Pelodiscus sinensis: one gene and its partner. The protein of the gene in region 1 interacts with the protein of each later gene in a pairwise test. Links are inferred from orthologs where the notes say so. Each region holds a gene or a part of one and is shown in the gene's direction. Other genes may lie near its edges.

Evidence for each region.
Region 2: the proteins of MTFR1L (region 1) and ARMC1 interact in binary tests that used the Homo sapiens proteins (3 or more experiments, as listed by UniProt). The two-hybrid records come from large-scale screens. The link is inferred for Pelodiscus sinensis from reciprocal best matches to the Homo sapiens genes MTFR1L and ARMC1.

What each region holds. Positions count from the first base shown.
Region 1 is NC_134735.1:1,493,708-1,501,564, forward strand, and holds the start of MTFR1L (mitochondrial fission regulator 1-like), read left to right. Parts: upstream 1-4,640; 5' UTR 4,641-4,734; intron 4,735-6,118; exon of another isoform or gene 6,119-6,215; intron 6,216-6,240; exon of another isoform or gene 6,241-6,317; intron 6,318-6,781; exon of another isoform or gene 6,782-6,806; intron 6,807-6,832; exon of another isoform or gene 6,833-7,708; intron 7,709-7,857. UniProt on the Homo sapiens protein: Mitochondrial protein required for adaptation of miochondrial dynamics to metabolic changes. Regulates mitochondrial morphology at steady state and mediates AMPK-dependent stress-induced mitochondrial fragmentation via the control of OPA1 levels.
Region 2 is NC_134712.1:58,844,122-58,851,628, forward strand, and holds the start of ARMC1 (armadillo repeat-containing protein 1), read left to right. Parts: upstream 1-4,164; 5' UTR 4,165-4,391; coding exon 4,392-4,432; intron 4,433-4,438; exon of another isoform or gene 4,439-4,586; intron 4,587-6,623; coding exon 6,624-6,813; intron 6,814-7,507.

The sequences.
Region 1 (7,857 bases):
AATGTGCATTTATCAACACTGAATTTAATCTGCCATTTTGTTGTTCAGTCACCCAGTTTTGTGAGATCCCTTTGCAACTCTTCAGTCTGCTTTGGACTTACCTCTTGTGAGCAGTTTTGTGTTCTCTGTAGACTTTGCCACTTCACTGTTTCCCCGCTTTTCCAGATCACAGCACTGGTCCCATTACAGGTTCCTGGGGGTGCGTCTACATAGCACCCGAAACTCGAAATAAGGGACGCAAATTGCGTAGCTCATTTTGTCATTTGGTGCTGTCTACACAATGCCAAATTTCGACATACAGTGCTATTTCGAGCCACCCCTTACTCCTCGTACGATGAGGTTTACAGGGATGGTGAAATAGCGCGTCCGCTTTATTTTGAAACAGCAGACACGTTCAAAAGACCTCTGGTATCCCGAAATAACTTTGCTGTGTAGACATACCTTGGGAGACCCCAGTTTTTACCTCTCTCCATTCTGAAAACTGACTTTTTATTCCTACCCTTTGTTTCCTGTCTTTTAACCAGTTACCAATCCACAAGATGGCCTTCCCTCTTTACCCATGACTGGTTGGCTTTCTTAAGAGCCTTTGGTGACGGACCTCATCAAAAGCTTTCCCAAAGTCCAAGAACACTATATTCACTAGATCGTGCTTATCCATATGTTTGTTATCCCCTCGGAGAAGTCTGATAGATTGGCGAGGCATGATTTGCCTTTACAAAAGCCATGTTGATTCTTCCCAACAAATTGTGTTCATCTGTGTGTGTGAACATTTTAAAATAGTATCACTGCATTGCAGTCGTCATAAACAATTACTTTTGTGGCAGCTGGATTTTAGTGCACATTCCTGTTGGTAGGTCAGAAGAGACGGAGCATCAGTGGTAAACAATTAAAAGCAATCAATTGCTGCTGGCAAACAACAGGGCTGTTGTCCCCTTTTCTGCTCTCTGAAGCACATTTTAGTTCAAATCACACTCCAGGGACCAAATACAAAACCCGCCCCCAACGCCCTGAACTGTTTGAGTCTCTCGTTTTCCTTCCTTCGCGGAGTGTGTAATCCATGACAAAAAGCTCCTCTTGCTTACCCGGGAGATGTCTCCCTGTATCAGCTTTCTAACTGTTGTGTGGGCTCCTGCTAGCATCTCGAAACTCTGGACGTGCATTACAGACTCCGGCTTGGCAGCATCTTTGCTGGCGGTTGTGACGGTAAGCCCTGTCCGCTGTGTAAACGGCATCGTCTGACCAAGAAGAACTGTGACCACAGTGCAGCTGGCTTAGCCCCCACTTCCTCCCCCCGTGTTAAAGGGAGTCTGCTGGCTCAGGCTGCAGTTTTTTTTCACTTAGCACCCTTTGGAAATCCTGGGCTTAGCCTAGACCCAGCCTTTGGGGAGTTTCAAAACTTGATGTAATTAAAAGCACTTTAATCAGGGGCATTAACGGTCCAACCATCCCTTGGATAAATTAGGGCTGTGAATGTTTAGCCATAATGGGTGTGGGCTATGGTTAATCAGTGGGGGCTGGAGGAGCCCCCCCCCCCAGGCTCCAGGCATGCTGTGGGCAGGGATGCACAAGCCCAGATGGAACAGCCCCCATCTGTGGTGGTTGGGGGGGGACACTCCAGCACAGCCTCCCCCCTGCTCGCCCGGTTTAATTGGTCAGCCAGTTAAACATAACGTTTAACCAGTTAACTGATTAAACAGGATTTGACATCCCTAGTGTAGATATCTTTAGGCTGAGGAAGGAGATCAGATCAGATGCTCTTCCCTCTGTCCAGCTTTGCAATTACAGAATCGAAATGCAGGGTTCCCGAGGAAAGGCTAGAGACTTTTCTATTTCTCCAGGCATGAAAATAGTGCGATTAAAACATACATTTTCCAGGGTCCTGTCTCCATTAGAGTCTCCTCATGGCTGTAGCGTTAAATCCGTGAGAAGTGCTATGTACTGTAGAAGCTGTAAAAACCATTTTCATATTTAGCTAAAAGCCATCTTGTATATCAGAAACCATTTCAGCTTTTCTCTCAAGCACGTAAACCAAAGTAAACTTTCTGTCACCCCGTAAAAAAAGGCCTACAGAATGGGCTATTGATATGTGTTAATTGGGCTGGTTGGAACAGAAAATGTACTCCCTCGCACCTGTCCGCCATCTTGTTGATAAGGCTTTGTTTTTCCAAATTTAATTAAAAATTTCTGTAATTGGATGCCCTAACGTCAAACTGTTTGGTTAAGGGTATAAAAATACTAAAATTAATTGTATTAGTAGCTTTACTGGGTCTGGCTCTGCTGTAACCACGTTTGGCTCATGCTGTGCTTTATTAATTAATAAAGCTGCTTGTTAGCTGCCTAAACACAAAGAAGCGTGTTTTTGCTTCAACAGTACTCTTATTCGGAATCTCCTAAGTTCATAGTTTACTGGCTGAGCTGCATCAGCTGGTGCTAAAGACCATGCCAATGGGAATGTCTCACCACAGTAGTACGATACAACTGGTGAAAGCATTTCCCTCGCTGTTGTGCTAAAGCACATCAGTCACCACAGCAGGATAACCAGAATTCACCAGGAAGCAGTGTTGAGAACTTTGGGATACATTCACAAAGGCCAAAGTGCCGCATTCACGTGGCTGCAGGGTAAAACCTTCCACTAGTACAACACTGAGGCTACGTCTACACTGGCGTGATCGTGCGCAAAAACTCTTTAGCGCAAGAGTTCTTGTGTTAAAGTAGTTGTGTAAGAGAGAGTCTACACTGGCATGTGCTTTTGCGCAAGAGCATCCTTGTCAGTGTAGACGCTCTCTTGCGCAAGAGAGCTCTGACGGCCATTTAACCATAGGACATTCTTGCGCAAGAAATTCATGTTGCCTGTTTACACTAGCCTCTCGCACAAGAACAGTTGCGGAAAATGGCTTATTCCTGAGCGGCAGCGGCAGAGTTCTGACGCAAGAAGCCCTGATTTCATACATTAGAACATCAGTTTACTTGCGCAAGAACACATGGACGGTGTAGACAGGCAGCAAGTTTTTATGCAAGAGCGGCTGCTTTTGCACAAGATCGCGCCAGTGTAGACACAGCCTCATGAGTGTGTCTAGACTTAATGGGAATTAGAACGGTCGGGTTGACGCTGATTAATATGACACCAATGGTTCTCTAAGGCAGATAGTGCCTAAGACATTTCCAAATTAGTTTCAAAACCCAGACCTATGTTGTGTTATCCATAACATTGTCCAAACTGGCTACATTTTCCTCTTGCAACACTGAAACAGGCATTTCTCCTACCTAAATTGGAATCAACTAATTAGAAATTAAGCATGGTGGGAAGAATTCTTGTTGCTCCAAAAATTAGCAGTATACTCCAGCTCAGAAGCTATTGTATGAATCTCAAAGAGTCTAATTCCAGTATTAATCTTGTAACGGTAATGCTGCCTAAAAGAACAAATTGCTATTTTTACTTGTGTAATCATCTATCTAATTTTGAGAGGTGGACTCTGAACAAAAGCAGGGTCTTACACTTTTTCAATATGTGCCATTTTTCATATTTTTACTACATACTTCCTAAGCTTTTATAGGTGGTTTTGCTATATCTACAGAGGATGAAGTAGAAGCATTTTTTTCCCTGATCATCTGTGCTTTGTGACGGTCTGATCTTAAATTGCAAATGGGTCAGGGCTGATTTCTGACAGTATTTCAGGAAAAAAAAGTATTTCATTTCTTCCCCCTCTGGGAGTTTTTTTAATCAGTTTGTGTAAAATTTATTTTCGCCTAGTACTCTTGCCTAGAGACAATTCACATTTAGAGGTGAATGTTCTCAAATAGTGTATTTTTTACAAAGTAAATGTTTCAGTTCTAATGTGTGTGTAACTAATTTTAAAAAGTTGTAGTCAGACTATGCTGGACAGTTTCTGTAGCTGCATTTGAGAGATCTCAAGGATTACTTAGTCATTGATTATCTATTTAGTGTGGTGGAGAGAAGAAATACTCTGTTGGGTAATACCAGCCAGTCTATAAATCAGGTACATACCTTGTCTTAACCATTGACACTCTTCTCCATTATGTGTTCCCTAGACTTTACTGGTGTTACTGGTAATAAGCTAATACACAGACAGAGGTCAGTGTGGAAAATTGTATGCACAAAACACCCTAAATCCTCATTCTTTCTAAAATGGCTTTACATATTTAAATACCTGATTATGGCTTTGTTACTAGCCATACCTACAGAAAAAGCATTACATTAGGCATTAGCTCAGTGTTCTGGGTGAGCTTTCTAGGTAATCTTTGTGAGAAATGTTCTCAATTTTACCAGCTGTACCAGCTTAGTTCACTTTTTTCCTGTAATAAAAATCTGGAAAATACATGCTTGTCATTTTGAGATGTTTGCTGTTTGACTGAATCAGCAGGTTTGAAACGGCTGGGCGCACACAGAAGAGTAGCTGGCATAGTTATGAGGGAAGGGGCATCAGCACTATTAATGGCTGAGGGCCGGTGTTTTGAGCCAGAGCCAACACAAAGGTCCACCCTCCTGTATATCACAGAGCTTCAGATCCATTTGGGTTTTTTTCTTCTCAGGCAAAACGCCCTTGGCTGCAGTGCAATACCTCCAGCAGAATGTTGCTGTCAACACTGAAGGTCACCATGACTATTAGAAGGAACTAATGATGTTCTGGAATTGACAAAAATCCTAGAACCAAGGCCATTTTTGAGGAGACTGACTCTCCTGTGGTCTGGGCATGGGCAGACTCAAATGTCAAGGTATTTTAACGTTTGACTGGCTAAGGCTAAATAGGCTTTATGCAACAGAGGTGGGATTGGAGTTGAGATATGCTGACTCCTGGCCCCTTCCTGCTGGGGCAACCAGCATGGTTGTGTTATGTTTCTGCCAGTGGCTCTAGTCCCTTCTTTAGCAATTGGCCTATGTCCAAAGCTTCACTGTAAAAGCAGGAAGAAACTGAGGTAGGCAGGGCAAGTTACAAATGAAACGTGCATGACTCCTCTCCTATAATGTTTTCAGGACTGGCCTAGTGGGGATGAGGGACATTCTGAAAGGCTGTGTTTAGTGACCATCAAACCCCTGACTGCATAGCACCACCTACCAAAGTAAAATCACTCTCCTTAAGCTAAATTATCCCAATTACCGGTAGGAACAATCCCTTGCAAAGTGAATAATGCTGCTACATTGCTATTATGTATCCAATTGGCCTTGTGGTCTTTGATTGGAAATCGTTTGCCACACCAATTCCTCCTGCCCCATGGTACTTGGTAGCTCCGGTACAACCGAGAGCCTAGGTAACCCCCAGCATGTGGCATCTGTCTCTGGATGAGGCGGCGGGAGGGATACGTTTTGCATAGCCGAGCGGTGCACCTGCTGCAGGGTGGGGAGCAGCAAGCAGCCTGTGGGGGCTGGATCACACCCCAGCGATGGAGGTAGCTGCGTGTGGCGGGCAGGACGGAGCCTTGCTGATGCCTGTCAAGCCCACAGCACCCTTGACTCCAGTGCGTTGGCTGCTCCCCAGCAGCCCAGCCCTGCACCTCGCTGCTCCTGCCAAGGGCCCAGCAGGAGGGAAGAGTCAGGGGAGACGAGCCCGTGTCCAGGGCTGCCGCCAGCCGCCCATGAAAGGACCAGCCCCGCAGAAACCATCAGTGAAGCCCCCAGTGCCGGCTGGGGCCGGGGCCCGGGGGCCCCAGCGCGGGGGGGGGGGGGGAGAAGAGGCCGGTGGGGGGAAGAGGCCGGGGGGGGGGAGAGGCCCCAGCGCGGGGGGGGGGGAGAAGAGGCCGGGGGGGGGGAGAGGCCGGGGGGGGGAGAGGCCCCAGCGCGGGGGGGGGGGGGGAGAAGAGGCCGTGGGGGGGAGAGTCGGGGGGGGAGAGGCCCCAGCGCGGGGGGGGGAGGAGAGTCCGGAGGGGGGAAAGAGGCCGGGGGGGGGGAAGAGGCCCCAGCGCGGGGGGGGAGAGGTCGTTAGGGGGTGGGGGAGGCCCCCGGCTGCCCCCCCCCGGAGCCGGGCCCAGTCTGTTCCCGGGGGGGGGGGGGCGCTGCCTCGTTCCAAACGCCCCGCGGTCTCGTTCTGACCAGGCCGGGGGGGGGGGCGATGGGGGCCGCGGCTCTTGCTACGGGCCCCGCCCCACGGAGCCACGGCGTGACGTCACCACGCAAGGGGCGCCGCTCACGGGAGGGGCCGGGAGTGGGGTTAGGGCCGTTCTGCTTCCGGGTCAGGCCCCATGGCTGAGCGGAAGCGGTGGTGAGAGGGGCGCTGTGGGGGGAGGGAACTGCCGGGGGGGTCACTCCGGTGCTGCCCCCGCCAGTCTCGCTGGCGGCTTTGGCGACAGAAGAGCCCGGGCAGGTTCTGTCCCCCCCCGCTCCGCGCCGCGCGCTCCCTGCGGGCTGGGCTCCCCCCAGCTTCGGGGGGCCAAGAGCGGATCGGGGCCCCTGCCCTGCTGGGGGGGCTGAGCCAGCGGCGGGGGGGTCCCAGGCGGCCCCCCCCCGGGTGCTTCCCCGCGCTGCGCTGCTCGCGGAACGTGCCCGGCGCGAGGCACAAGGAGCGTCCGACCCGCGTTCGCTTTTGGCGACGTTTGCGGCCCGAACCTTCCCAGCGCGGCATCGCTGGAGAGTCCGGGGGGGGGCCCTGCTAGGAGCATCCCCCCCCCTTTGCCTTTCTGCAAACCTCCCCCCCCCCCTTTGCCTTTCTGCAAACCTCCCCCCCCCCTTTGCCTTTCTGCAAACCTCCCTTCCCCCCCCCCCCCGGGTGGGTTTTGAGCAGAGGGGGCTCCCCGGCAAGCAGGTCTCTGCTATCGGCCTCGTTTTCCAAATGGAGACGCTGAAGCTCTACGAGGTGAAGCCCGTAACCTGGAGGAATGCTTGACGAGCCAGCAATAACGCAGAGGCTTCTTCTCTAACCACTAGGCCACATTCTCTCCCAGAGCTGGGAATAGAATCCGAGAGTCCTGGCTCCTGATTTCACACTGAACCACTTCGCCCCCCACTCGACTCCCTTCCTACTTCATCTTGCCCAGTGCTTTTTAGTTGGAATTAAAGCTAACAAAGACATGCACACTCTAGTTGCCTGTTAATTTTCACGTCACTTCCCCAGGCGTCCCTAGCAGTACAGTGGCCAGTGATTCATTTAATGTTTTTCAAAATAAATCTCTCCACTCAAACCAAAACGGCCCCTAGTCCCACTTGGGACAAGGCTAGGGAAGCCAGATGTGCCTAGCTTTCTCTAATGTGTGTGATCAGAGTTTCTTGCATCACTGTGATTCAGTAGTGGCATGTGAGTGGTTTGTAGTGTTTCTTCAGCCATGGGAAATTTCTCTTCAATTTTGGAAACAGCTGAACTTGTCCTGGAACAATAGATTTGATTATCTGTCCTGAAGCTGTCGCAGCTGAATTTGTTCAATTCCTCTTTGGCTTCTCCCCCATTTCATTATTCTGTGGGCTCCGGACTACATAAACGACCTGTGAGCCAGGGGGCTGTTAGTGGTGGTTCTGTGCATGCTGTAGGCTGAAGAACACTTTGGCTTGCCCATCTCTGTCATGTGTAGTTATTTTTGGTTGACTGAGCTGTGATACTGTTAGCATGTGTCGCTTTGCTGACCTTGGTTCCGTGCAGAGGAGGCTGTCATGGCTTGCTTTCTCTACGCCTGATGTCCTTTGCCCCACTTGTTGCTGTTGAGCACCAGTTTTGTGGAGGTGACTGTGGAAAAAAGATGGTGATTTTATCACAGCAAACGTGAGGTGAACGCTTCTATATATAAAGACAACTGGATACCATGGTGATTGCAGATCTTGGTTAGAGGCAGTTGCTTGCTTCATGCATTTCTTCCTGTAATTGTATGGTACTAATGTTACTGCAAGGGATGAAAATGGACTGTGGCAAATTAACC
Region 2 (7,507 bases), on another chromosome or scaffold:
TCCAGCTAAGCTAGAGTAGTGACTGCCTGCAGAAGGGAGGGAGGAAGGGAGTGTGGGGTGGGGGGATGCAGGGGTTATTTCAGCCCAGCCTCAGCAAGTGAGGGAAATGAGGCTGGAGCAGTCCTCCCTCCAACCAACTGTCCCCCCTTTAACCAGTTAAACAAACAGCTTTTTACATCCCTAATCATGCATCATCCCTACTTATACCAAAAGGAAATACAACATTGCCATATGCATACAAGGTACCAGATGTTCTCAAACAGGAAAAATTACAGAGCCTGCAACATCCTACTTTGGAGCTCTTCTTATCTCCCTTCCTTCATTCAAAATACTCGTTAGAAACCATGGATATTAACTCAAGGTTATTTTGTTTTAAATATGAAGTTACCTACAATCTCTTGCATCTGATGAAGCAGGTCTTTGCCCACAAAAGCTTATGCTCCAATGAATCTGTTGTCCTGTGGCACCTTATAGACTCTTTCATTGTTCCTACAATCTCCTACTTGCACCTGATTTAGATTGCAAGGCTTCTTTGGAAGTGATCACAGCACCCACCTCTACCTGCACAGTGACACAGAGGCTCTCTATCAATGCTCAGGAGATCAGCGAAGTGGGTAGGAAAAGAGCTGCAAGACTAGTAAGCGAAGAAGCAACAGGAATTCAACAAGTCAACTGGCGTATATGCCGGTACTAAACGTTATTCATCCCCGATCACGCCTATGGTCACCATCCATCCTAAGGCTGGCTGGAGCAACAATTTCATGATTGAAGCAGCGGCTCTACAGACCCGCATATGAAGTTAATATTTACTCTGTCGTCTCGACCAGCTGATCAGAAAGGCAAACATGAGGCAGGCTTCAGAGCGCAGCCCGAGGCTGCACGTGGCTGTTACTAACACCGCCAGGCTCACACAAGGTCTCAATCGGCGGGCAGAAACCAGCAATAACTGGCAAGGGCAGGGTCCCGTGTGAACGCCCGTCACCCAGGCAATGCGCTCGGCCACGGAAGTGGAGGCCCCGTTAACTCCGAGTTTACTCTCCCCCGGGGACGCCAGACCTGAAGGAGCCGCTCGCCCAGGGGCTGGGGGCGGAAGCCCGCTCGGACCCCGGCAGGCCAAGGACCGTGGGAGGGGGCAGGACACGGGCTGCGGAGCCCGGCGAAAGGGGAGAAACAGCGGGGAGGGGAGCGGGTCGGCACCAGGCTGAGCTCGGAACCCAGCTGCCCGCCCTTGCGCCTCACCCGGCCGCACCGGGCTCTGATCTTCCGCGGGGGCTTCCCGGCGCCGCGCCTCAGCCCATCAGGCTCCCGGGAGAGAGACACACCGGCCCCAGCAGATCCCCGGGCGGACACCTGGCCACGCCCAGCACAGACTCACCCCCTACCTAGCCAAGGCCTCAGCGCTCACTCGCCGGTCTCCGGCTCCTCAGGGGCAGTGACTCAAGGCTCCGCCCTCTCCGCACAGCCAATCCCGAGCCGCACAGGCCCGGTACTGCCCAATCAGCACTGCGCCTGAGAGAGGCGGGACCTAGCCTGCCACACACTAGTGGGACGGAGCGCCGCGGCCTAACCGGCAGCAGCCCAGCTCGGGTCTGCCCCGCCCCGTTCGCGCCAGTGATTGAAGGGCGCCTGCCAACGGCCAATCCCGTGATGATGTCGCCTGCGCGGCCCGGCAAGCCCTGATTGGCCGTTCAGCGTGCGCGCGGGCCCTATTGGAAATCGTCCAGGCTGCTGACATGCTGGTCCGGTGCGGGCGGCCGGGGCAAACCAAACCCCGAGAGAGGGTGGCACAGAGCTCCCCGCGGACACACGGGTCTTGCCGCGTACGTCAGCCTGGGTCTACCCGTGAGATCTGTGCCTCCGCTGGATGGGGATGCCGTTGGGTCTCCTCCAGCGCTGGGTGCTGCTGTGTTTGGGTTTCCAGTGTGGCAGAAGGATACTTATTGTTTAAAAAATCAGAGAATTGTTTAAGTCCATCAAAGTATCTCTCTTGTGTTATTATGATGTAATGACAACAGACCTAGATAGATTATTAGCCAGGATGGGTAGGAATGGTGTCCCTAGCCTCTGTCTGGAAAATGGACGACAGGAGAGGGATCACATGAGGATTACCTGTTGTGTTCCTTTCCTGTGGGGCATCTGATATTGGCCACTGTTGGCCGACAGGATACTGAGCTAGATGGACCTTTGATCTGATCCAGTATGGCCGTTCTTATGTTTTTGTTCTTATGTAACTGGAGGGCAGGAGAGTGACAGCTCCTCTAAGAAATATTATTTCCAAGGGAGGGGAGCAACTCTTGGGGAACAGGGGAAGGATTGGAAAGATTGTGGCCTTCTGTGCCCCCATAAGGCTAATAACTCCTGGTATATTTAGTTTGTTTAAATCAGTTTACTGATTTTTTTGTTTTCTCAAAATTGATTTGACTGTAAGTGCTTTGTAAAGGCTGGCTGGTAACTGGTGTACATTGTTGAAGCCCCTGAGAAAAGATTAAGTACAGGTGCTGGAACTTGGTCAGAACTGCTTCAGAAATCATAGTAAGATGTAGAGCACTGCCAGCCTAAAGCCCCAGACCAAAGGGGAGAGATGTGGGTCTTTTCCTGAGATAAATGATAGCTGGATGGAGCCTGAAACCTTAAGTAGGTATTCTGGAGGAAGATGGGGGGAGGAGAATCAAAGCTACAGTTCATCCTGAAACCCTGACAACTCTCTTTGTCCATTTTAGTTGAATTGAATTGAAAAATGCATCCCTATTTGTCATTTCAAATTATCCTACTCTCATCTTTCATTGGTTATTTAGTAAATTACCCTGTTCAAACATCACTCTTCAGACAAAAAATGCAGTTTAATAGTATTGCTAGAATTCTTAAATTCAACATACTGAGCTATGAATAAAGTAATGTTTTTCAAAGTGTAATACTTACCGAGACAGAGGCAGAAGAAAGTGAGAAGGACTAGTGAAGGAGGTACAGACACCTATCCCTTTCTAGTCCAGCATCCCAACTTTTATTAAAAAGAATAGTCACTATCAGGGTTGCAAGGAATTTTTTCAAAATGTCAAGTGGATATTGAAGAAATATCTATATGATATTGCAGAACACCTTAAGTCCTGAGGTGTGGACTGCCATATTCTTTTCAATGGGTATTAACTTAGGGTGATGCCAGTGACACTTTATATGTCAATATTGTTAATTTAATGTCTCAAGAAAGCATGTAAAAAAGATAAAAGTATTATGACCACCTACAAAAGTACATAATTGGTTTCATTTTCTCAAAAGAGGAGAGGTGTTCAGCTTTCCAAGATTTGAAACATGCTAACACTGGATTAAAAAGTCAATTTAAATTTAGCTTAAAGTTTTAATACTGATAAAACAAGCTTTTCTAAAACCTAAAAAATACAAATGTTTCCAAAATAGAACAAAATGCAAACTGTTGTTTAAAAATTAACATCCCTCTGTAATGGTTGTAGCTGAGAAGGACCTGATTGTTTCTTGTCAGTTTCAAATTTGAAACTTCATTGTACAAGGTATGAGAAGTGCAGAAGTAAACAAAACACGTAAATAGGATTTGTAAAATTATTTAAATTTTAAAGTTAATCTAAATTGATAATGAAACACATATTCATCGGCATAGGTTTGTTTAGTTGACAGTTTAGTTGTTAATTTTAATCAAATTATTTTGCCTTAGATCCACAAAGTGACAGATCTTAAAATTAGGTAAATTCTGCACATTGCATCTCTAAGACGATTCTAGATTACCAGGTATAGTTTATTTTTCCAGTGCATTCTTTGTGTCAGAATTGGTTCTATGAAACTAGGGATGTTGTTTCTACTGTAGTTTAAAACTCCGCTGTGATCACAATTAAGTCACTTTCGTGGAAGCACTCTAGAACCCTGCAGTATACAGAAAGGCTGACTGCACTGAACCGCTTGTACCACAGATGGCCTTGCGTTACATTCTCAGCAACCGTAGCAACCTTCAAGTACATCAGCGTTATCCATAGTAATCCACTCCTGCCTAGATTAAATCCATTTATACAAACTGCCTTAGTCAAACCTCAGGGGTTTGAGCAGACGGAGACTACAGGTTCACAGAGTTCACAGAGACTATGGATCCCACAGTACAATATTCCAGGCGCTTGGACAACAGGCAGCAAAGTGCAAGGCGCTGCTGGACTCGAATAGCCAAGAAACAGCCCCGCAGAACATGCCGTGGTCCTAGTAAAGCCTTCCGAGACTACACATCCCATTATGTTGTTCTCCAGAGGCAGCCAGAGCGCGCCAGGCAAAGGAAGCGGGGCATTCTGGACCGTGTAGTTTCCCTGGCCTGACGCTGTTCTACCCACAATGCCGTGGGAGTGGCCAATCAGTGTGTAGTGGAACAACGTTTGCTGTGAATGGCGGAGGGGCGCTGTTCGCTTCGGCCAATCGGGGTGAGGTAGGTGCTCCCGGTGGGGGTTGTGTGTGTAGAGGACCTGAATTTTCTTCCCTCCTATTGTCCCCCTCCGACGCCCGTTACCAGGCCTCAGCGACGCGAAGCCCGGCCAGTCACGATGCTGAGCCGCCCGGGCCTGTGAAACTTTCCTGCAGCGGTAAGTGGCCCGGGGGACCAGGCTGGATCTCGCGTCGGGTCCTGAACAGAGGGTGAGGCCGCTGGAGGGTACAAGGGTCAGGCTGAGGAGGGGGCGGGGTGAGGGGATTGGGGTTGCCCACGGAGGGGGCCGGCTCAGGAGGCAGCCGGAGGCGGGAGCGGCGAGACCCGGGCATGCACTTTACAGGCGGGAAGGGGTGCGCGAGTGACCGCCGCAGGGGGTGGGTTGGCCTTGGTGCAGCATGGTCCAGACTCTGTAACTTAAGGGGAGGAGCGGTGGGGGTGGGGGCTGCTGAGTTAGCCAGAGCAAACTGTACAAGTCCTAGAGGAGGGATTTCCCCCCGCTAGCAAAGAGGGAAGAAAGTAACCGAGTTATTCTGGATTAAGTCATCTGTTGCTCCTTTTGTAAATTGCGTGTTTATGTGCGGCAGCAACCTTACTAGTTTCTACATTCTTTCAGCTACAAGGTTGGTTTTTTTTGAAGTGTCAGGAGATGGGTTCGTGAAGCTGATGTTTTTCCATGTGTATGAATAATAGTAACACTGCATTCTGAGGATTTTAAAACACTTTACACACACTAATGCATTCTGCTATGTGAGATCAGTAATATCCATGTCTGCAGATAATAAAACAGAGGCAAGATTAAGTTATTTTCTGAGATTTCAAAAATCCGTGGCAAAGATTTGAAAATAATCTAGAAGTTCTGATGTCAAATCAATTTGTCTAACTTAATCCCCAAGTTCTTTCTATTTCAATAAAAAAAGTAGAAACATGGCTTTGCCTTTTTTTAAATAGAAAAACATTGTATAAAAACAACAGAATTATTCATATACAGGTTTGTTGTAGTCTTGGTCCCAGTAAATTTTTAAAAAAACCAAGTGGGCGAGGTAATGTCTTTTATTGGACCAGTTTTTGTTGGTGAGAAACAAACTTTTGAGCTTATAAAGAGCATTCCTTCAGGTCTTAGTTTTCTAAACCTAAATAATTAATGTGGTGTATGCTCAAAAGCTTGTCTCTGTCATCAACAGAAGTTAGTTAAATAAAATAATTATTTTGTAGTATGCAATAAAAGGGAATGAATGACCTTGTGATTTGAGCATGAGACTGGACATAAAGCATTCTGGTTACAACTTTAGGTCTGTTATTGACTGGATGTCTGGTCTAAGGTAAATTAAAGTATCTGTGCCTATAAAAAGGGAACAAAAATAGTTACCTGGTTTACAGGGATTTTGTGAAAATTGTGTGCAGAGTGCTTTGCAAATGTAAAATGCTAATTATATGAAATATTAGCTTCTTATTTGACTTGTACCAATCTTATGGTGTTCTTGGGGGGGAATAACCTTGAAGCAGGTCAATAATACCTGTTCATCACTCTAACAATCTGTGTGAAGGAAATATTAGTGACAGCTACTGTCACACAGAAACTAACATTGGTCTGAAAACTGCTTGAAACTAGAGTAAAAAACAGAATTTTCAGACACCACCATAGATGCATGTGATTTATTGGGGAAGAGTCAACATGGTTTTTGCTGAGGCATGATTTTCCTTTACAATTTGCTAGAGTGCTTTGTGAGGAGATTTATATGAAAGTTGAAGCTTTCACTTTAAAAAATGTATTATGGATACCTGAACTGTATATTTCTTTACAGATTTACTTTTGATATAATACAGAATTGAGACATGTTTCTGGTTTCTGTAGACAGCGTCATCATTAATAAACCAGTTTGTCATCTATGACTGTAATTGATCTGAGCAATATTTGACAATACTTTTATCAATTATTGTGTATGTATATTCTGTAAAGATTGTCAGGCCTAAACATTGTACATGAAGATCAAACAGCTAACAAAAATTGTCATTCTCTTTATATAGACTCTTAAATTTCCAGCTTCACATTTTGTGAATTTCCCTCATTTTGTGAATTCCATTTATCCGTATGCCTCTAAGTACAAGGCAGAATGTTGTATTCTATATTGACTACAGTTTAATCTGAGATTGATTAAAATGAAGTGTTATTAATATTGATTTTTTTTAACAGGTGTTGGCATAAGAAAATGAACTCCACTATGAATGAAGAGCCTGATGCACTAGCAGTAGTTAACCAGCTGCGAGACCTGGCAGCTGACCCCTTAAATAGACGAGCCATCGTTCAGGATCAGGGATGTCTCCCAGGCCTTATTTTGTTTTTGGATCACCCCAATCCTCCAGTTGTTCATTCAGCATTACTAGTAAGTGATCTACTTTTTTTTTTTTTTTTAATTGGTGGGCTTTTTATTTGCTTTGTGAGCCTTATGTCAAATTATTGTCACTGTTCTGCTTAATTTTCTGCCACACCCATTTCAGCAATTAATAACGACAGTCATTTTGAAATACTTCATGGACCTGGGCAGAGAACAAGTTATTATAGATTAATTTACTGTGTGTGTGTGTGTGTGTGTGTGTGTGTGTGTGTGTGTTTCAGAAGTTAACCCTTTAACTTTCGGTATGCGGGGGGAAGCTATAATATAGTTTTTTACACGTAACTGTATGCATTACTTCATTTAAGATTTTCCTTGTGGTTCATGATAAAAGTGACTCTTGAAATCTACATTGATGTAATGCCTTTTCTTTTGATTGGAAGTGGGTGGATAAAAATCAAGATTTTAAAAGAATCATATATTTTAATTCATATTATACTGTAAAAGCTCTGTTATCCAACACTTAATCAGAAAGCTCAATTAACTAGTGTTTCTGATGTCTCCCAATACAAATCTTCAATCTAATAATCAAGGCAAGTATGCTGCTCTGCACGTTATTCCAATATGCAATTACATATTTGGCATTCTACTACATTCCTGTCTCCCCATTTTCATAGTTGGACATTCTTAAAATTGATGGGGGTTTATACATGTTTTTTAAATTTTCCTAACGAGTTTCAGATTA